3 linked regions of the Pelodiscus sinensis genome follow. Each later gene encodes a partner of the first gene's protein in a complex. Links are inferred from orthologs where the notes say so. Each region holds a gene or a part of one and is shown on either strand. Other genes may lie near its edges. The genes, in order: RAB9A, NDE1 and SGSM1.

What was found.
Region 2: the proteins of RAB9A (region 1) and NDE1 are in contact, whole or in part, in a crystal structure (PDB 7E1T), measured with the Homo sapiens proteins. The link is inferred for Pelodiscus sinensis from reciprocal best matches to the Homo sapiens genes RAB9A and NDE1. Residues at the interface, in NP_001182257.1 of Homo sapiens: Ile40, Val42, Phe44, Asn46, Gln59, Trp61, Arg68, Phe69, Ser71, Leu72, Pro75, Phe76; in NP_001137451.1 of Homo sapiens: Asp99, Gln102, Thr103, Ala105, Ile106, Gln109, Leu110, Tyr113.
Region 3: the proteins of RAB9A (region 1) and SGSM1 are in contact, whole or in part, in a crystal structure (PDB 4QXA), measured with the Mus musculus proteins. The link is inferred for Pelodiscus sinensis from reciprocal best matches to the Homo sapiens genes RAB9A and SGSM1. Residues at the interface, in NP_062747.1 of Mus musculus: Phe37, Thr39, Ile40, Gly41, Val42, Glu43, Phe44, Leu45, Trp61, Arg68, Phe69, Leu72, Phe76; in NP_766306.2 of Mus musculus: Leu256, Leu257, Tyr258, Gly259, Lys260, Asn261, Asn262, Tyr277, Asn294, Met297, Asn298, Gln361.

Annotation. Positions count from the first base shown.
Region 1 is NC_134711.1:213,171,954-213,179,479, forward strand, and holds the start of RAB9A (ras-related protein Rab-9A), read right to left. Parts: upstream 3,005-7,526; 5' UTR 2,960-3,004; coding exon 2,883-2,959; intron 2,826-2,882; exon of another isoform or gene 1,707-2,825; intron 1-1,706. UniProt on the Homo sapiens protein: The small GTPases Rab are key regulators of intracellular membrane trafficking, from the formation of transport vesicles to their fusion with membranes.
Region 2 is NC_134726.1:18,250,778-18,258,415, reverse strand, and holds the start of NDE1 (nuclear distribution protein nudE homolog 1), read right to left. Parts: upstream 3,071-7,638; 5' UTR 3,051-3,070; exon of another isoform or gene 2,926-3,050; intron 1-2,925. UniProt on the Homo sapiens protein: Required for centrosome duplication and formation and function of the mitotic spindle. Essential for the development of the cerebral cortex.
Region 3 is NC_134725.1:38,031,260-38,038,758, reverse strand, and holds the start of SGSM1 (small G protein signaling modulator 1), read right to left. Parts: upstream 3,011-7,499; 5' UTR 2,838-3,010; coding exon 2,819-2,837; intron 2,729-2,818; coding exon 2,685-2,728; intron 1-2,684. UniProt on the Homo sapiens protein: Interacts with numerous Rab family members, functioning as Rab effector for some, and as GTPase activator for others. Promotes GTP hydrolysis by RAB34 and RAB36.

The sequences.
Region 1 (7,526 bases):
CATGGAGCCCAAACAGCCACCTGCACTGCTTGCCCCCGCACGAGGAGCCCAAACAGCCATTTGGGCTCCGCGGTGCCCCGAATGAGAGGCAGGAGGGGGAAGAGAAGAGAAAGGGAGAGAGAGGCAGGAGGGGGAGAAGAGAAAGAGAGACGGAGAGACAGGCAGGAGGTGGAGGAGAGCGCTGGGGGGGGTGGCAGGAGGAGGAGGAGAGAGAAAGACGGACATGGAGGAGAGTCCTGAAAAATCCCGTTGTATGAAGGGTTATTGGCAAGTTCCTGAAAATAATCAGTGTAGCAGCATTGCGCAAGAGGGTTTTTCTTGCGCAAGAAGGGGCAGTATAGATGCTCCTTCTGGCACAAGAGCCTCTTCCGCAAAAATGGCGGCTCATTAGGTATTCAAATGAGGCTCGGTGATATTCCATGCTTAGCCTCATTTGCATATTTCTGGCACACCAACCCACCAGTGTAGACATAGCCCAGCTGTTCCTCCTTGCGCCGGGTCCCAGAATTACTCCCACTACAACTCTACACTCTAAATGAAGTAGGAGTTGGCCTGCCTACACATCCGGTTCCTACTACATTTACACTGCTACGCCACAGCAGCCTCTTATCAACTAATCGTATACGCAATACAAATTGTATCAACTACATGATTAGTCATTTACTCGATACTTAACATCCTTATTCAGAGTAACTATTCCCAAATACCTCCATGTGTACGCAAGACCTTATTTCAGTTTGAGCCAGGTTTATTTCAGTCTCAATCAATTAGAAACAGGTTTTTAAGGTAACAAATAACCTCCACACAGGTTTTTAAATAACTTGGTTTAACTGTACCATTACAAGACAGTGTTTAGACAATGGTATAGGTCCTTTGTCTCAAATTTAATCTAGCTGCACCCTTGGATGCAATTCAGTGGTGAGGCTGCCCTTCTGCATTGTTTCTCTATCACTTTGCTGTACTTATAGTTTACATCCTCTGCTGGATAGCTTATCGTCACATGCATGACAGACTACCCGATCTGTATCTCAAGGCAGCTCTACTGTGGATTTTTTTCTGTTTTGTTCCCTGCTCTCAGATGATTATGACCCACCTACCCACTAGAGATGTCAGCAGATACCTGGTTGCACAATTAACTAATAAGCCTGGCCTTATCAGTTAATCTTAACAGTTATACGTATTCTTCCTTTCCCCCCTCCTTGCTGCCTCTGTATTAGAGGCTGCAAAGGGGGGAAGGAGGCAGGAGCCAGCTCCCCACGGATGCCAGCTCCCACCTCCCACAGGTAGGGAAGCAGGCAGAGCTGATACATGCAGCTGGCTTTCCGCATGTGCTGGCTGTCCCCAAAGGTGGGAGGCAGGTTGAGCCGCCTACCCCAACACTGCTGCCTCTGTATCCCCTACTCACAACTTCCAACTCCTCCCGAGTGTAAACAGTTACACTTTTACAACACACACACATTTGGTAATATCCCTGGTATGTCTTGTCAGCCCTGGTCTTCCCAACTGATGTGTAGAATGTTGTCATGATCAGTGGAAACCCAGTGCACAGACACGTCTGGTGATCCCATAAATGCTGCTTATTGCTACTAGAGAGAGACAGGAGGTTCAGTATACCAGTTTCCATTGAAGTTCAGTCTGCTCTACAGTTTCATTAAACATTATAGTAAGCGACCATTGCCTTGTTAGTGGAGAAGCCATTTACTCACCTAGGATAAGGATTGGTCAACAGGTCATAGTGGGAGGAGCAAGCAAGCAGCTATCTAGCTCAGTCATCTTCAAATTGTAGATCTCAAATCTAAAGCGGGTCATGAGTTATCTTAATGGGATTTCCTAGGTCGGCAATAGACTCGCTGGAATTTGGAGCTGATGCCTGAGAAAATTAGCTTTGTGGGGTCATGGCAATTGTCCTGCTTCCCACCTCTTAATGTTAACCCTGATTCTAGAACACTGTGTATAAAGAAGTGTAGTAATTTTGTTATATTGAGTCCCAGTGCAACAAAATTTGAGAAATGGTGATCTAGCTGATAGTAGGGATGTAAAGATCATTCAGAATACTTTACTGGTTAACCATTTACATCCTTAGTCCTATAGGAAAGAGTAGGGGGCGTAGTACCAGTCAGAATGAAAGTTATTTGCTGAACCAAACACACTAGCCACTTTTCAAACTTATCACAAGACCTATTAGATATTTTTTTCCTTTATAAAAGAAGTGTATTTTTAAAAGCAAATAGAACTCCATAAGAACTGGGATGGGTGAAGACTAAATTCTCTGTGACTCCAACAATTCTCTGTGATCTGCATGATTAAATGCAGATCTAGTTTACCTATTCTATTGTTAGATGCTACTATGATGGGTGATATATATGAATCCTGTGAACACTCCAGTTCTTGCCTTTACACCTGCTCAGCTATTTCTGAAGCAGCAATAGTATTAAAATTACATGATTTGACTATGAAACTAAAGAAGATGCTGGCAGTTTTGACACAGGACTTTGAACAGCACTGAAATTATGATGGGGTTTAACTACACAGAGTCAGACAAATGACAATACATTCTCTTACGTTTGGAAAGAATTTTTTTTAATTAACCAAAAAATGTTTGTCCCAGTCTAATGTGGGAACTTCCCTCTCTCCTGTCGCATATAAGCTACATGCGTTTTCCCTTCTCTGTAGTTACCTCCTTGCTTGTTAGAACTGTTATCAGAGTTACTCGGAGGAAAGCAGATTTGGAAATCACCCTATTGAGGCGCCAAAGCCTGCCTGCCTTCCTTCTCAGCCGGGCCGCGGGAACATGCCGTGGCCAGGGGCTGCTAGTCACGGAAACATACACACCGCCCTCCCCCGCAGAGGCGGAGCGAGCCCGTGACAGGCGGGTGACTTGCCTCGGTGCTGACACGGCGCCTGCAGGGCAAGGGATCGCTCCCGCAGTCACGCGATCGCTAATCACGCCGCAGCCCATGAGCGCGCACCACAAGTTTGAGCAGCAGCAACTCGGCCCCCATCTTGAATGGATCGTTTCCACGCAGCGACACCCCCCCCCCCGGGCCCGGACCCCGCAACTGCCACCCCCCCCCCGGCTCCCAGCAACTGGCGCAGGCATCCCCGGGCCAGGGCGGACCCCGCTGCGGGGCAGTGGCGGGGGGGAGGGGCTGCCCGCACCCGCCGAGCCGCCGCGACCGGTGCCCGCGCGCTGTTACCTGCCGGGGAGACGCCGCCACGGGTGTCGGAGCCAGGGCTGCGCAGCTCCCGTCCCGCCGCTGCAGCCAGCAGCTAGACAGGGGAGGGGAGGGGGAGGAACAACATGGCGGCGGGGGAGGCCCCCTCCAGGTCATGTGACCTGGGCCGAGCGCAAGCCCCGCCCGCCCGAGGCCGCTGCGGGGGGGGGGAAGGGAGCGGCCGCCCCCTCACCCGACAGCCGCTCAGTGCGGGCCCCCGCCCCGCCTCCCCTCACACCGCCCCCCACCGGGCCGACTCAGGCCGGGCCAGTGCCCGGAGGAGCCGCCCGGCAGGGAGCCCGCCCGCCCACAAGGGTCCTGGGAGACATCAGGCCTCTCGCTCTAGTCGCGCCACTTGCTTCGTCCTCTGTGCCTTGTGAGACGGACGCGCAGGCACTTGGAGGCTGCTTTTTGCCGTTGGGCTGCCACTCTGCCCATCGCCTCCGCGCTTTTTCTATTAAAAAAAAAAAAGTTTGCCACCTAGTATCCCTGTTGAGAGAAAAACATTGAGTCATCAGCCACCCAGACACAACAGCCTTGTACTGGGATTAAAATAATTATTCCCTGTGCTCAGCGGCTAATTCAGAAGGAACTAAGGTCCCCTTTGCTCCAATCTCGAGGTCTGGCTGAGTGGGCATCCAGCGTTGGGTCATCAGGAGGACAGGCCACATCCCACAGTAGATCAGCAGGAGTTAGTGTAGTCAAGGCCTTAGAAAGCAATCGAGAGGCAATTTGTTTAGCCTCTGGAAGGTGACTGAACCTTTTGTGCCTGTGAATGTAGAGAAATCCCCTGAGGCTAGTGGCTGGAGCAGTATTGATGGACACAGAGGCATTTGCTCTTCTTGGCCAGAAACAGGTGGCTGCAACATTGGGATATTAAAGGAGCAGTGAAGGAAAGTAAAAAGTGGGCCCAGGAAGTGGGGAAATCTTGGGTAACACAAAAGGCACAAAAAAGGGACACTGATTTAGTAGGTTTATGAAATAGTTGCAGGTAGACAATAGCTCACCAGAGCCATAGCATTGTTTTATCTAGTCTGAGATTATGACTGGTTCTATTACATCACTCATGAACAATACTGCACATGCTCTGGCCTCACCCCTTATTGAGAAATTGCACTTAGAATAAAATAGTGCATAATGAAACTAAGACCACACCTTTTCTGTACCACACATTTCAGATATGCCTCTCTGCAATTTCATCTATGTTTTTCTTTCCTTTTTTAGCTAAATTTTCTGTCAAGCAAAAAACCTGGTTCAGCATGAAAGGAAAAGTTAAGTGAACCGTAAGAGACAGTATTTCCATGTTCAGAATTGAGTTAAGTGTTTGATACACTTAAAAAACAACAAATTGTCTGGTAGCACTTTATAGACTAACAAAACATGTAGATGGTATCATGAGCTTTTGTGAGCACAGCCCACTTCTTCAGATGACTGGAGTTTTGATACAGTTCCTCACAAAATCTTATTTCTTAAAACAGGACTGGATATGAATATATGAAATGGAACAATGTACTGTACTAATTGCTAATTTTATATAATAAATTAACTAGTCAATTGAAAGGCAGAACAAACAGCTTGTTAATTATATCTGTAAAGTAGAAGACATACTCAGCATTGCTTCCGTCCTTCAGGGCAGGGGACCGGAAGCAATCACATACTATACACATATAATTGTCCTGATGTAACCACAGGGTGCATTTGAACCTGGAGCTTAGTATAGAAGCCTCTACAGCCTGATCTATAAAACCAGTTGGCTTTCAGCCCATGTTGTAGAGGTCTCTTGTTCTTATCTGTTGTTGTGGTCTAGGTGTCACTGCATGGGACGGTGAACCACACTGGGGCTGTGTCTACATTAGCATCCCTTTTCCGGAAAGGGATGCCAATGAGACACATTGCAATTGCAAATCCCCAGGGGATTTAAATATCCCCCGCGGCATTTGCATTTACATGGCTGCCGCTTTTTTCCGGTTTGGGGATAAGCCGGAGAAAAGCGCCAGTCTAGACGTGATTCTCCGGAAAATAAGCCCTTTTCCGGAGGATCTCTTATTGAAAGTAGGAATAAGAGATCCTCCAGAAAAGGGCTTATTTTCTGGAGAATCACGTCTAGACTGGCGCTTTTCTCCGGCTTATCCCCAAGCTGGAAAAAAGCGGCAGCCATGTAAATGCAAATGCCGCAGGGGATATTTAAATCCCCCGCGGATTTGCAATTGCGATGTGTCTCATTAGCATCCCTTTTCCGGAAAGGGATGCCAATGTAGACAGAGCCTAGGTGTGTGGATTACACTGACAAAACCAAACCCTGATATTTCTTTAAGTTATGAGAAGAGGAAACTACATGCCAAATTTGGTGGTTCTAGCTCTTGCTATTTAGGAGGAGTTATTGAACAAACAGATTCACAGAGGGACACACAGACAGAAACTCAAACTCTCTCAGATATATAGTAGATAAAATGAGCAGAACAAAATGACATTGAACTAAAAAAAATGTGAGTACAACTGCAAGGCCATTGAAAATCTACTATATGACTACTTTCTCCTTTGAATTCTAAATTTATATGTACAATTGGACAGTGACAGAAAGCACAAAAAGTCTGTGAAAGATTATTTTCCTCTCATTTACCCAGAAAAGAAAGTTACTAAACTCTTAGGCTGCGTCTAGACTGGCAAGTTTTTCCGCAAAAGCAGGAAAAACTTGGCAGCTGTCTACACTGGCTGCTTGAATTTCCGCAAGAACACTGATGATCTCATGTAAGATTGTCAGTGTTCTTGCGGAAATGCTATGCTGCTCCCATTCGGGCAAAAGCCCTCTTGCGCAAATGCTTTTGCGCAAGAGGGCCAGTGTAGACAACGCGTTATTGTTTTGCACAAAAAAGCCCCAATTGCAAAAATGGCTATTGGGGCTTTCTTGCGCAAAACTGCATCTAGATTGGCACGGACGCTTTTCCGCAAAAAGTGCTTTTGCGGAAAAGCGTCCGTGCCAATCTAGACGCTATTTTCCGCAAATGCTTTTAATGGAAAAAGTTTTCCCTTAAAAGCATTTGCGGAAAATCATGCCAGTCTAGATGTAGCCTTATTGTAACTTTTGTTCTTCAAGATGTGTTGCATCTGTTCATTCCACTACAGGTGTGTGCACACCTTGTGCATAGTTATTGGAGATTTCCCCTCCACCACCCACTCAGAATGCTATGCAACACTGCACCACTATTCACAGATATAAAGGGAGGAGCTGCCTCCAACTCCTCTTAATTTCTTCCTATTGAATAGACTCAGAGAAGGGAAGAAATTTGACAACTCAAAGAAGAAAAAAAAGGTTACAAAAAAAAAGGTTAGTAACAATTTCTTCTTCTTCACCAGATAGCACATGTCCATTCCACCATAGGGGACTAACAAGCAATTTAAACTTGAGGTGAGTTTGCAATCTACTTGAACAGTGATTGCAGGACTGCCCATCCAAATCTGGCATTATCTCTGGTTGATGAGAGTTGGTGTAGTGAGAAGCAAAGACTGATGATTAGGTTCCTAGCTTACAAATGTCCAAGATGTGCGCACAAGCCTCAAAGACTGAAGAAGATGCCTGAGATGTGGTTGAATGAACAAGCTGTGTACTCTGGAGAGCATTATTAGCCAGTTGATAGCACTAACAAACACAGCTGGAAATCCACGAGGAATGACAACAAGCATAACCAAACCTGAGTACTTTCCAATCATTTATAAGTTACTAGAGAGACTTTACCAGCCAGAAATCTATTCCATCATTGCTACAAATGATACAAGGATTTTGCAATCATTTATATGTATATGATCTACTAACCATTTATAACTCTCTTCAGGCATGTCTACACTACGAAATTATTTTGAAATAGTTAAATTTGAAATAACTCCTAAATTAACTATTTTTAAATAACCTTCTCCGACAAAGAAAGCAGGAATACAGATTTTGAAATAACCAGCCAGTTATTTTGAAATAACAGGTTTGGTAGTGTGGATGCTCTGCTTAGTATTTTGCAATAACACCATAGGGTAGACTAGGGCTTCTTTTGTTAGTAAATCTTAAAGTGGTTTACTGAGGATTTGTTTACAGTGTGACGTCTGGATAAGATCTTAGATACATATTGCCATGAAGATAAATGCCTAATTCTCAGATATGGTGAATGAGATTTTCAATAACCCCTTACCATATTTGGCTCTCATAGAGACAAGTGCTGGAATGCCTAAAAGGGACTGTGTTTGGCTCTTGTTAATAAGCAGGGCTCGACAATTAGGTAATCTACTTGCCACAGGCCAAGAGATTATAGCCCAGCACGGCGCCGC
Region 2 (7,638 bases), on another chromosome or scaffold:
GGGTCTAAAAGTCACCATATTGTTTCTGGCTAATTCCACAAGCCAACTACATAGGAAAGCCTTAGAAGTTTACAGGTTAGATTCCTATCAAAAAGGTATGAATAAAGACATTGGCTGGATGGCCCACTACAGTCCACATCCTAATGACACACAATACTAAACAATGGGTACTTAAGAACAATTTGTGCCTTCTCTATCAGCTTCATGTAGCACTGACACTCTATTTCTTTCCCTTTTTTTCCTCCTCTCTTCCTCCCATCCTCTATTTATTTAGAAACTGGACCTTTAATAAATCCATTCATCTGAAGAAGTGGGTTATGCCCATGAAAGCTCATGATACCATCTACATGTTTTGTTCGTCTTTAATAGCTGCAAGACTATTAGTTGTTTTTAAATTTAGTAACAGTTTATGTTTGCCACATGTGAACAGGCTGCGGCCTCTCAACTACGCCCTCAATGGCAGGGGCCTATGCAGATAGATGCACTGTCACTGCTGCCCTCTTCTTAAATCAAACTTCCAAACAAAGCTTTCTCTGATTCAGTCACTCTCCCCTCCACTGAGGATCTCCCAGGCCTTCCTTCAGTCAGGGTTCTCTGCTATAACTTACTCGCTCCAGCTGTCTTTGTCCCTGAACATCTCTTCTCTTTCACTGACAGCTTCCTGGTATTAGCAGTTCTTCCATACCCAGCTAGTTCTACTAATTAAACCTCACATCTCATACCAAGAGTGGCAGGCAGGGCTAATTGCGTGAGGTTCCCCAAGGGAGATGGCTACTATTACACAGCTAAATCACACCAAATTATACATTACACAATTCTGTAGTTTTTTTGAGAAGAGGGTTCTACCAGCATTTTGCTCACACTTTATTACTGCCATCAAAACGCAAGGTTCTAACTTTATCTAATGCACACAGTTTGGCTGCACCTCATTTGTTTTTGTAAATGTAGAAACCAGAAGGAAAGATCTGGCCATACTTCCTGCCTGTAAGCAGCTGAGCTGGTCACAGACATTACAAAATTTCTGTCTCATACAGGAGTTTTCTGGGGACATGGGATGAACTTTTACAGTGAGGAAAATAATGGTTACATGTGTCACTCCAGGAAGTGATTTCACCAATGTGATGACAGTACTGCCAAACACTAGTTTGTAATCACCGTGGCATCGCTGTTAGCCATCTTCAAAGTAATTTTAGTATAGGGATTCAAATACTGTAATTAGAATCAGAGCTAAGCAAACTCAGGAGAATTTTATATGGCATATTCTAATATGAAATTGCAAAAGCCAGGCCAAAACAGCTCTGAGGAAATATTTTAAGGATCTATTTGATTTGGTTAACAATGTCAACAACATTCAGAGCAGATTCATGCCCTCCTTCCCCCCCTCCAAAAAAAATTAGTGAGAACAGGAATAAGACCCTTTCAAAAGGTAAGAACAAGGTAGAACTGTCACAACCCACACTTCCATAGAGTCTATACATTCTATTTGAACTAGGGATGTAATAGTGTAGTCAATTAACCAATAAGCAAAAGCTATAGACTACATGCATTTCCCACCTCCTGCCCCGCCAGTAAAATTTTTAGCAGTCTGGCTCAGTCCTGGCTTGAAATGGGTCCGGGACTTACCTCTGCTGTGGCTCTGCATTTAAAGTGTATTAGGAGCCAGGTGGGCAGGCAGCCCCGCTCAGTTCCAGCTCACAATGGGTCCGGGAACTCTGATCCCCCCAGATGGGGGCTGCTGCCACCCCACGCTACTTTTTCTTTATCAGAGGTAGCAGCACAGGGGGACAGGCAGCTGGTATGCGAGGGGAGCTGTTTTTTAAACTGGCTCTTCTCATGAACCAGCTCCTGCCTGGCACCCTGCACTGCTGCCTCTGATACAGAGGCAGCAACATGGAGTGGTAGAGGGCTCCTCAGGCATGAGGATGGAGCACACTAGCTGCTGGCCCCGCTCCCAGGGACTACAGAATAGTCGACTAACCGATAAGAATTCTTGAGGTTACTCAACTATTCAATTAACTGATATTTAACATCCCTAATTTGGACAAGTAATTTGTGTTCCATTAACAGGGTAAGAGGAGATAGAACTAGGTTCATATGGGGCATCTTCCTCTAACCACTAGAATATAGGCTCTCAGGTCTGGTAGAAAAGAGGTTTTCACACCCTCTACCAACTTACCAAAACTATACATTATCTTCAAGCTGCTTCCTAAGCTGAACTTCATGTCACAACAGGGACTATTTCTTTTTGTTTAAATGCCACAAAAAGGGATAAAAAGAAAGGGGTTACCCCCAAACAGTAATTAGTAGTTTATTTAACAGTCCAGTCCAAAAAGGTTATCAAAGCACAGGAGTCTCTGTGCAAAATGGGTTTCAGTAGAAAAAAAGCCCCTAATCAAGAATCCTGGTACTCATCCAAATCCAATTCTTTTAAGTCCTATGGGAACTCGGCAGATCAAGACAATTCTCTCTTGAAACATCAGCTTGTTCCTTAGGGCTTCCTGGCCTCAACCCACGAGCCTGTTCTCCCAAGCAGAAGGGATTCTGATTGTATTTGCTAGTCCAAACCCAGAAAGGAAAATAAACTACTGCGGACATTTACACATTTCGACAAAACATAAAAGTCCGGTTCCAGAAACGGCTGAGGCTGAAAATTAGGGCTGGGAGCCATAGAGAAAGCAGGGAGCCTTATTTTGTTCCGAGCCCCATGCCCTCCACAGCCTCAGAGGAGAGCGATGCAGGATGTGGGCAGAAGGGGCTCTTGTTGCTTTTCTCCAACTCCCGTCCCCCCCACAAGGCCACGTGGAAACCCTCCCTGCTCCGACCCCACACAGCAGGGCAGACACAAGGGGAGAGGGAATAGGCGGATCCTAGGAGTTTGCTCTCCCCCAAACTTCCAAGAGACACAGCAAAGCCCTGAGCGCTCACCACTTCCACAGGAGAAAGATTCCAGCTCCAGCCTCTGCCACTTCCCACGCGGGGCACAGGAACCCTCTGTCCCACTCCTAGAGCCACTGGCTCGGGCTAGCGCGACTCGAGTCCCAGCCTCTTACCCTGCCCCTCGGTGCTCCATCCGAACCATTACAACCAAGCTCGGGCCAACACCCTATTGGCTGTAGGGTCACGTGGCCTGAAGAGCTCCTCCAATCAGCTCTGGTAAAATATTGCTCCTGGAACGTTTGGAAACTTTTGTCTTTCGAAGGGTTTTTTTTTTTTAACTTTTCAGTTGTACTTGCAGTCGGGCCGGGGGGCAGCGGCAGGCTAGTGAGATGAGATAAGGCTGAGAGCTCAGGGCATGACGCAGCACAGCCCCAAGGATCTCATGCGCACCTCCCCCCGTTTAAGGAGCTCGATGTCTTGCGCAAGCAATGTATCGCCTGGGAGACTCCAGCTTTCCTCCTCTTGTTATTGGTGCAATATTTATTTTAGACCATCCATACGCGTGCTTGGGGCTTGCTTCACCGAAGACATAAGAAGACATGGGTGCTAATGCTGCAAATTGCCATATATCCGTGATTAATTTTTAACTGACCAAAATTAAGCACTCGCATTAGTGTTTGCAAGCTCTGTAGTGCGAGTAGAGTCTAAATAGCCTCCGCTCATAATTTTAGAAACTGTATTTTCCCACACTCCCATAATTTTAAGAAATAAAGTTTTCCTCACGCTTTGGTTATTTAAAAATCATGTTTGGTCGGACTTGTGAGTTTTAACGAAAGCTTACCTCAGTATGTAGCCTTCACTATTTTAAATGCCATAAAAGTACACAATGTATACATTAAAGATACTCTTTGTGCCATACTTCTCTCACTGAAGTGAACAGTACTAAGATTAGGTTCACTATGAGACATTAGAATGCAGCATTTACTTACATCTCATTTTTGATTACATGTCTCCACAAAGTACACAAGAAACCACAGTAGGACTAAACAGAACCTATGAGTGATGTGAGCACCCCATAATGGTGTTTTGTATCTCCAGGATGCTGAGTACAAGAATGTTCACCACAGCAGTAAGCCTGATCCAAAAGTCTAATGAAGACTCTATGACTTGATGTTAGTGAAATTTGAATCCAGTTCCTTTGGCTTAGTAATTAATACGGATAAGACATACTCAGTATTGCTAAAGAACCATAGGTGTGTGTCTATACTATAATGCATACAAATACCTGCTCAGTAGGTGTGTCTGGTATTTGCTTCCTGAAGGATTCAGAACCACAAATTACTACTTTAGTGAGTGATAGAACCCACATACGTCACTGAGTATCTTATTATTAAGATATAAAGATTATTATAAATCAGACAGAAATGATAACACATAAAATAGGAAGTGAGGAAACAGACTGACAGAACCAGACAAGTACCCAGAAATCAACTACTTCAAGACAGGTCCAACAAATAAAATAATAGAACACCACTGGTTATCACCTAAGCCCCCAGCTTAAATCTCTCCAGTGCACCATTGACAATCTACAATTTATCCTCGAAAATGATCCCCCACTCTCAAAGACCTAGGAAGACAAACACCCCTCCCCCAACCTGAAGCAAATCCTGTCCAGCCACCACACATCACACCTCAAATACACTTACCCAGGAACACCCTTGCAACAAACCCTGTTGCCAACTCTGTCCATATATCTATACAAGCGACACCATCACAAGACCTAACCACATAAACCACATCATCAAGAGCTCATACAACTGCACAACTTCGAATGTGATATATGCCATCAAGTGTTAGCAATGCCCCTCTGCCATGTATATTGGCCAAACAGAACAGTCTCTATGACAAAGAAAAATTGATACAAATCAGATATCAGAAATGGTAACACACATAAACTTGTAGGGGAACATTTTAACCTGCCTGGTTACACAATCATGAATTTAAAAATAGTCATTCTTTTACAAAGAAATTCACCATCCAATTACAGAGAAATGTTGCATTATAAAGCCAATCTCCCCTGCCGTTAACAGCTGCATTTTTACATCAAAAACTAAGAATGGGACACTTCCAGACCACTTAACTAGCACTGGTCTTACAATTAACAGATACTTTTTTTTTTTTTTGCTGTTATATATATCTTGGTTTCTGTTATTTCCACTGCAGCTCATCTAATGAAGTGGGTTTTACCCACGAAAGCTCATGATACTATATTTTTGTTAGTCTTTATGGTGCTGCACGACTACTCGTATTATCTTATTATTAGTTATTGTGCACATCCAACTGCCAGTTTAACAAGAAACCCGATGATGGGCACCCACATACATAAGCAGAAGACAGAGGACTTTGTCCTATTCCCATTGTTTTCAAAAATGCAAGTTCAGGCTCTGATTCCATTCATTTAAATGAGAGTTAGGTACCTATATATCTTTGAGGATCTGGGCTTGAGTCCTTAGAACCCAATCCTATAAAGACTTAGACACTTGCATTATTATAACTCCAACAGGAGTGCCTACATACTTAGAGTCTTTGGGGGATCGGGCCATTTGATGTGGCAGTTCATGTTTTTGTAGAAGATTCAGATATTAAAGGGACACTCAACAGCTCAACTTCATTGCATCCGACAAAGTGGGTCTTTGCCCACAAAAGCTTACACTCCAATAAATGTTAGTCTATAAGGGGCCACAGGACTCTTTGTCGTGTTTGCAGATTCAGACTAACACGGCTACCCCTCTGATATTCAACAACTAAAATATCTACAACTGAGAAGTTAACAAAGCACTTTTGGAATCAGATCCTCAGCAGGTGTAAATGGGAGCTGTTATTTTGACATGAATGGAGCATCCCCCATTTATACCAGTTCAAGTTCTGACCCTGTGTTGTTTTTCTTGTTTGATTACTCTATGAATTTAACAGGATTTATAGTATATGATCATTTTGTGTATTTCACCTGTAGCTAGAAGATTATAAACATCTACAGATTTGGAGGGAAAAAAATCTCCCTACAATTATAAGTTTAGGGATGTTAGACAGCGAATAACTGAACAGTCATTTAACCACACAAAATATTATCGGTTCCATGACTATTCAATAGTCCCCAGGGGGTAGGACCAGCAGCCAGTGCGCTCCTGGCCCCACTCCCGAGGAGCATCCTGCCACCCTGCGCTGCTGCCTCTCTGTCAGAGGCAGCACTGCAGGGTGGCAGGCAGGAACCGGTCCATGAGGGGAGCTAGTTTAAAAATCGGCGCCTCGCACAGACTGGTTCCTGCCTGCCACCACGCTCTGCTGATTCTGCTATAGAGGCAGCAGCATGGGGTGGCAGAAGCCCCTCTCTATGGGGGATCTGAACTCCCTCAGACAGAGGCTGTCCTGGCATCCATGAAGCAGTCTCTGTCCACGGTGAGCCTGGGCCAGCTGCGGACAGAGGCTGCTCCGTGGCAGTATCCCCTGCCCCCCCCCCCCCGATACAGGCAGCAGCATGGGTGGAGGAGGTGGCTCCATGGAGCCAGCACTGAAAGAGAGCCATCTTAAAAGCTGAACTCCCTATTGCACCGGCTACCGTTCTCCACCCCCGACCCCATTGCCACCTCTGGTACAGCGGCAGCAATGGGAGGGAAATGCATGTAGTTGATAAGAATAACCAATAAGGCTTATAGCTTAACCGTATACTCAACTGCAGGTTGGCATACCTATATAAGTTTTGTTTTTTTAAAGGAAATCTGAACACACAGCTACAAGATGTTGTACTAGCTCTGGAAGTTTATAAAATTAGTAATTTTTTCAAAAAACCAAATTGACAGTACTCCTTAATTCTACCCATAACTTACTAAAAATGTTTGGTTTTTTGGATAAGTTAAGAAAACAGACCAGACTCCATTTGACAATGATCTATATCCTGCAAACAGACATGCTTAAATTGAATAAAGTTGAGCATATACATACATGTTTGCAAGATTGGGATCAATGTCCAATATTCTGCTGGTTTTTAATATTAATTAGTTACCATTTGTACAGTATTGTTAAGACTTTAAGAATAACTTGTATGAATATTAAAACATTAAAATTTTAAATTTCATGTTAAATAGGTTGAATTTTGATGAGTTTCACAATAAGCTTTTTATAGCAAGATTTAGATTTCAGAAGCTAAGCTGTTGAAATGATTATCCAGTTCCAAAACAGAAGAATGGGTTCCTAGTCAAAGACTGGGTCTCCTCTCCTAAGCACTTCTTCCATACAAATAATAACAAATAATAATGGTTATTGTAATTGCCTCGTTTGTAAGAAGACTACCAAAATCTGAAACAAAAGACAGGACTATGCAGCACTTTAAAGACTAACAAGATGGTTTTTAGGTGATGAGCTTTTGTGGGTCAGACCTACTTCCTCAGATCAAATTGTGGAAGAAAATTGGCATGACCCTATATACCAAAGGGATACAATCAAAAAAGTGAACACATGTACAATAGACAAATCAGATTTTAGAATAGAGGAAGGATGGGGGGAGGGGAGGTGAGTGTCTATGAGATAATGATATTAGAGGTGATAACTGGGGAAGCTATCTTTGTAATGGGTAAGATAATAAGCATCTTTGTTAAGGCCTTAACAATTATCTTACTACTTACTATCCTTTGAGGTAATTGAAGGCTGCACTCAAATCCCCCTTCACTCTTCTCTTCTGCCAACTTAATAGACCCAAATCCCTCA
Region 3 (7,499 bases), on another chromosome or scaffold:
CTTTGCAAGTCCCACACTGTCAAAATAGAAGAGAAAGGGTCCACGCACAATCTGTGCAATATACATTCCACTTGCGGGTTCCAAAGAACGAGGGGGCTCCCGCGGGCTGCACTTCCCTGATTAGATGGAGCCAAAACAACTGTTAAAATGATCACTAAAGCACCGTTTCTGGCGAGGAGGCAAGGGGTGAAGGTGACCTGGGACTTGGGTTAAGCCCAGAATCCTATCACCCCAAAAGATGCTGCTTTGCCTTCTTTTTTAAGCAGAGTAAATATTGGGCCTTTGAATTAGGGATGTAAAAACGTGATGTTTAACCAGTTAACCAATTAAAGGGAAGACTGGAGGGGTTCCATTAAGGGTGATGCTTACCAGTTAACCTTTCACATCCCTCCCATGAGTTTTCTCAAAGGAGCTGACTAAAACCCTGAAAAGAGGGAAAAATAAAGGATCAAGACAGCTGAACCTGGGTGCTAAGTTCCCAGGCTCTGCTCACACAAACGACTCATGTCTGCAATTCCACTATAGACAAAGTGTATGCTTTCCTTGGGATGCTCTCACTTGGGAGAGGCAAAACGAGACAAGGGGCAATCTAGCAAAGCACCTCCAGGCAGTACACCTCCAGGACGGCTGCTAACACAGCTCTCTCCCCAATCAACCCAAGGAGAATGTAGCTGTGTGTTATCAAAGCATAGCCTTTAATGGTTACAGCACTGAGACTGGGAGCTCTTTGGGATAGGGGCTGTCTCTTTATTCTGTCTGTACCATGGCTAATACAGTGGGGTTCTGATTCACAACTGGGCTCCTAGATACTAACATGGTACAAGCAATGCCAATACCCTAAAGGATTTATAAATGGAAACAACCCTTCATATCTGTACAGGCCCCTGACTCTGAAGATCTAATAGCAGTTAACAAACCTCATAGCATCCCTGAGACACAGAGAGAGCTGAGGTGACTCTGCCAAGGTCACATGGCAGATCAGAGGACCTGCTAGAATGAGGACCCAAGAGCCCAGGCTTCCACTAATCACTGGGCCCTGCTGCTCCTCCATTACCTGTAGACAGCTATAAAAATCAAGCCCGAGAGTCCTTCAGGGAAAGTCTATCCCTGCCAATACTAAGCTCTTTTGTGTCAATGCAGCCAATAAAACCCCCTCGGGAACAGGAGCCAGTGACCAAGCAGTCACTTTTCAAAATGACATAAACAGTCAGGCTTCATGTGCCTCTTTTCAGCACCCAAAATGAGGTGTTCACGTTCCGAACTACTTACTCACAGAGTCATGTTAGAAAACCCGAGACCTGTGCATGTACCAGCAGGGACAGCCATGCCAATAAGCAACCCAGTGGCTGTGAGCTTGATGCTGACTTCCCCTGCTGAAGCCCCTCAGGAAGCAAGCAAACCGGCTCTCCCCCTCACTCTGCTGAATTCTTTCCATGCAGGGAAGGGACGTGGCCAGCAATTCACCTCCCAGAGAGGTGATGGGGACCTTGCTCATGCAGTCACCCAGGATTCAAGCCAATCTCTCCTTTAGAAGGTGCAAACGGATGAGAATTTTTGACTGTCCAACTAAATCACTCCTAACTGCTGCTAGTGATTACACAACCTTTGCTGGCTCAGGGCCCTGGTGACCTAGCCTGCTGGGAGCAAGGGACAGTTATTGGCAATGGTTGCAACAGATACAAGCAGAGATCCCAGCACTTCAATCTGGAGATAGGGGGAAAGGAAAGATTTGCTTATCAAAACAACTCTGCATCTCAGATGAACCCCAGCCCTGCAACACCGCAAATCACTAGATCCCCATTGGCTGAGAGGGCCAAATAGGAGACGGGGCTGTTCAGAACAGAGCCATCAGGACTCACAACCTTGCAGCAATCACAAACAAAATGAACATGATGGGAGGGGAAGAGATATAGCCCTATCCCTCCAACCAATAAGAGCCATTCCATAGGCAACCAGGTGCACTGACCCCTTCATGCTCCGGAACAACATCTGGAGCATTCTTTAGTCTTCACCCATACCTCAGGCTCCTGATATGCAGCCACCTGTGGTAACCCCAAAACCGTCAGGAGCTTACCCCTCAAACCTTAGGCACCAATTAATTCAGCTATGCAGCTGACTGTGGTACTCCTCAAAAACCGTCAGGTGCCTCCCCCAAATCCAGGCACTGGCTAATCCAGATGTGCAGCTACATGTGATACCCCCCAAAAAACAAACGGTGCCTCCCTCAAATACAGGCACTGGCTAATCCAGATGTGCAGCTACATGTGATACCCCCCAAAAAACAAACGGTGCCTCCCTCAAATCCAGGCACTGGCTAATCCAGATGTGCAGCTACATGTGATACCCCCCAAAAAACAAACGGTGCCTCCCTCAAATACAGGCACTGGCTAATCCAGATGTGCAGCTACATGTGATACCCCCCAAAAAACAAACGGTGCCTCCCTCAAATACAGGCACTGGCTAATCCAGATGTGCAGCTACATGTGATACCCCCCAAAAAACAAACGGTGCCTCCCTCAAATCCAGGCACTGGCTAATCCAGATGTGCAGCTACATGTAATGCCTCCAAAAAAACATACGGTGCCTCCCCCAAACCCAGGCACTGGCTGATCCAGATGTGCACAGACCTCTGGCGCATCCTCCACTCCCCTCCCCCGGCATATCTGGCGCCCCCCCGCACCCACCTCCTTCTTGACGGTGCGCAGCAGCCTCTGCCGGGTCTCCGCCTCTGTGGGGAGAAGGGGGAGAGGCGCGTTAGTGGCCCCGGCGCCGCCCGGCCACGCCGCCCGGATCCCCCCGACAGGGCGCCCCGTCCTACCCGCCGGAGCCGCGGCCATCGTGCTGCTCCTCCGCCGGGCGTCTGCGCCTCTGCAGCAGCCCGCGGGAGGGAGCCGGGCAGCAGCCGGGCTGGGCTGGGCCAGCGACGCCGCCCACTGCCTGGGACCGGCGGGCGGGGAGGTGCGGAGTCGGGCTGGGCTCTCCGCAGCCTGCGGGGCGCGTCCTGCAGCCGCGTCTGTCTGCCCCCTCCCAGCCCCTAAAACACCCATTGCGTGGTCCCACCCTCCCAGCGCGCACTGCCCATGCGCTGCAGAGCCCAGGCGCCGGGCTCTGCGGGGGGGGGGGGGGGGGGACACCAAACCAGGGACACCCCCTCCCCCTCAGAGCAGCCCAGAGCTCTGAGTCTGCTTCCACCTGGCGCCCAGGGGTCACCCCAGTAACCTCCCCAAGGAAGCCTCCCAACCAGTAGGCAGCTCTGCAACCCCCCCCCCCCCCCCCCCCCCAGGGCCATAATGTGTAAACATGAGACCCAGAGCATCAAATGAGGGCTGGGGACACTGCAGCATCCTTAGCTGGCCACAAAACTTTCCTCCTTCGCTACCGCACTGTACTGGGAGAATACTGCAAATCTTTCTACCCATGTAAAAATACCGGGCAGATTACAATATTTTTTTCTGGCAACTGGCAAATCCATAAACAAACCAGGCCAGTCAAACACCAGCCAGCTGGTAACCCTATTAGCCCTCCCTGTGCTTAATAATACCAGGGCCAGATCCATACTATTATCCCCTAGGCTATGCACAGAAGTGAGGCCCAGAAGCTAAGGCCCCAGTCTCTGAAGGCAGATAGGCACTTCAACTGATGTCAAGGGGAATTAGGCACTCAATACCTTTACAGAACTGGGCCTAAGTGACTCTGCACAAAGGGAGTCTGTGGCAGGGAATCAGATGGGGTATGTCTACACAGCAGGGCTAAACTCAAAATAAGCTATACATCTTGAGCTGCACTTATTGCATAGCTTAAGTTGAAATAGTTTATTTCAAATTTGGGCACATCTGCACAGCACTTATTTTGAAATAAAGCACTCTTCCTCTGACCTCCCTCACTCCTCGTGCAATGAGAGTTACAGGAGTCGGAGTAAGCAGTCCTCCGGCTGGACATTATTTCAACATTTTGGTGAAATAACTGCTTGTGTGTAGATGCACACTTTGTTATTCCAAAATAACTATGATGTGTAGACGTACCCCATATGGAGGTTTCCTAGGCTAGCCTCCGAACCAGCTGGCCTTTGCTTTTTAGTAAGAGGGGCAAAATTAGCACAAATGTGGACCCAGCTACCCTGGGGCTGACCCCAGCTATCCAGAATGATCCAGTGGGTGTATATCATCATCATTGGTCCAGCCTACAAACCTCTCATGAACCACTCACTGTGCATCACAATTTGACTGTTTGTGTTGTATGCATTGACACCTTTGTCACAGTGTCCCCATGACTTTATATATGCACTCACAAGTACACTGGAGGCCTGGCCCTTTTGCTCACTTATGCCGGTAACTGAGGCTATGTCTATACAGCAGCATTATATCGGAATAACTGTTTTTATTTCAAAATAATATAGTGTGCGTCTGCACAGCAAGCCATTATTTAAAATAATGTCAAACTGGAGGACTTCCTACTTTGACTCATGGTCACCCCCATTTCACAAGGAATAAGGAAAGTCAGAGGAAGAGTGTTGTTCCTTCACCTTCCTGCTGTGTAGACAGTGCCAAAAGCCAAACTAAGCTATTTAGACTTCAGCTACACAATTGACGTACCTGAAGTAACGTAACTTAATTTGACTTTTGCCCTGCTGTGTAGACATGCCCTGTGGAGGTAGGGCCAGAGATAAGTGAAATTAGGGTCAAGCTTGCTGTGTTTAGCATGACATCGCTGAATTATGGTGCCCCTGGTGACAGCCTGCAGCTTTAATGCAGAAAGCCTGCAACCAATATTCCCTGTGAGCTGTGCACTTGAATGGCTGCTTGGGAAAGATTCAAATGCTGCCCAGGTGATTAGCAGAGCACCCACAGCTAAGTTTTTGTTTCTACTGGTGGTGCATGTCTGCCCATGCCTCGGTGCACATAGAAAAATGTATTCCCTGCATGGATGGAAAAGATAAACCTGAACCTTGGTTCCAACCTACAGAGATAATCCCCTGGTTTACTATGGTCTTTCTCGATCCAAAAGTCTTGGAAGTTATGTGTGAGCCAAATCCTTATCAGACATAAAGTGGAATAACCCCATTGACTTCAGTGGAGTTATGCCCATCTGCAGGAGCTAGCCCATTGCCTTTCCAGTATCAAGAGAGTAAAGATCAAGGAAGTGGTGATGATTTGGAGAGGGCTAGCCCACTAAACTACATAGATGTCACACGGAAATATTGTAAATTACATAGAAACATCTCTGCCTCTGTCTCATTAACATATCTCCTGTGTTTCTCTTCCCTCATTTGTTGTTTCTAAGGACATTTCCATAGAAACGGGCTCTTTGTTCCTTTGCAGTTCAGTTCCTAATAACGACAAACCATGTTAAAGATGAAGGCAGCTGCAATCAACTTCAACATATGCAAATAAGTTGTGACCGTCTTGCTGCTGGCAGCTTGGTGAAGCAAAGCTGAACTGGGCCTCAGTTTCTTTAATTGAAAAATGAGGTTAGAATGCCAGCACCAGAAGGGTTCAGTGAATATTGAATTAATTCATGTTTGCAAAGCAAAGAGAGATCCTCAAATGATGGCTGGATCCTATACAAGTGCAGAGAAGTATTCCCTATTCCTCTCATTCTGCTTGTGACCTTCATTTAGTGTACCAAATTCTGTCCATGCCACAGCTGGGAATCCAGCCAGGGCCAAGCAAGTTGCCAGAAGCTGGCAACACCATCCAGGTAACCACATATTCTCCCAGGTCCTGAGCAGAGCTTCCTTTTGCTAATGCCAATAGCAATCCACCTACTGGAGTTTCTCTGGGATATTTACGCAACTTCATCAATAATTCCCCATGATAGCTGTGATTTCAGCATTCAGCAGCTTGGAGAAACCCTGCCAGACCCTTTGGACACCAGCTTAATGCTAAGCCTCTTCCATGGTAGCCATCTGCAATTCATCTGTGTTCTAACTAACCCTGTGTAAAATGAGGGGTCTTTTGATTCATAAAATATGCCTGTCTGGTGAAGAGCCATCTGCCTGGCTATACTTAGGCAGAATTTGGCTAGAGAGAATGAAGAAGAGCTTCTCCCCAAATAATGAGAGCCTACGATTATTTCCAGCCAGAGGCATGTCAGATGAATGTTTGCATTGATAGGCCTTGCTTTCACTTTGCCTATAATAAGGAGGCGTTAGCTTACCTTGTGCCCTAATGCAGTGGTTCCCAACCTTTTTGAGCATACAGACTCCTTTTTAATCTATTAACATTTTATGGAACCCTCAAACAATATAGCTGTTTTCAAACATTCCATTCCTTGATAATGCGGCGGCCAACATGTCCCCTGGCCTGCACTGCTTCCTCAGCTCCCACCCTCTCTGTCTCCTGCCCATCCACAGAGAATACAGGCGAGGAGGCTCTCGTGGCCAAAGGCATCTCCTGCCTCAGCACTCTGCCCTTGGCAGGGCATGAAGTCCTGGGGGAGAAAAAAAGAAAAAGAAAAGATCAGGCCCACTGCGGGACTGGGAGGGGGAAGAGGGCTGGAGCGTAAACGGCAGTGCAGCTGGTGGCAGGAGGACAGATGGTCGTGAACAGCAAGCTCCAGGTGAGAATCACGTAGAGAAAAGTTCCAGCCCTGAGGGGAGCCCGATCCTTACTTTTAAACTTTCTGTGGACCCCCTATAATACTGTTGCAGACCACCAGGAGTCCACAGACCACAGGCTGGGAACCACTGCCCTAATAAATCTGTTAGGGTACGTCTACACTACAGCACTAATTCGAACTAACTTAGTTCGAATTAGTTAATTCAAACTAAGCTAATTCAAATTAGCGCATCTAGACTTAAAAACTAGTTCGAATTAGCATTTTGCTAATTCGAACTAGCATGTCCACATTGAGTGGACCCTGAACCGAGGTTAAGGCTGGCCGGAAGCAGTGCCGGCAGGGCATCAGATTAGGACTTAGAGCGTGGAGATGCTGCCTCAGGCTAGCCGAGGGCTGTGCTTAAAGGGACCCGATCCCCACCCCGGACAGACAGTTCTCAGGGGTTCTCCGCTTGCAAAGCAGTCCTGGCTTGGAGTGCCCTGAGTGCCCACACTCAGCACATCACAGCACTCGGCCATCAGCCCGGCTGCATTTGCCGCAGGCTGCCATCCGGAGGGGGGGTCAATCAAGGGGCTTCAGGAGAGTTTCCACCCCGAGGAGCCCGCAGAGCCAGCCCAGTCCTCCCCATCGGGGGCTCATACCCCATTCCTCCCTCACCTCCTTCCACTTACCCCTCCCTAGCTCCCCTTCCTGATGTACCAAATAAAGGACACGTGTGTTCAAAAATAGAAACTCTCTTTATTGAACAAAACTCGGGGAGACTGGGAAAAAAAGGTGGGAGAGGGGAAGAGAGAGGGTGAGAGAGGGGAGGGCAATGAAAATGATCAGGGGTTTGGAACAGATACCATATGAAGAGAGGCTAAAGAGACTGGGACTTCTCAGCTTAGAAAAGAGGAGACTGAGGGGGGATATGATAGAGGTCTATAAAAGCATGAGTGGTG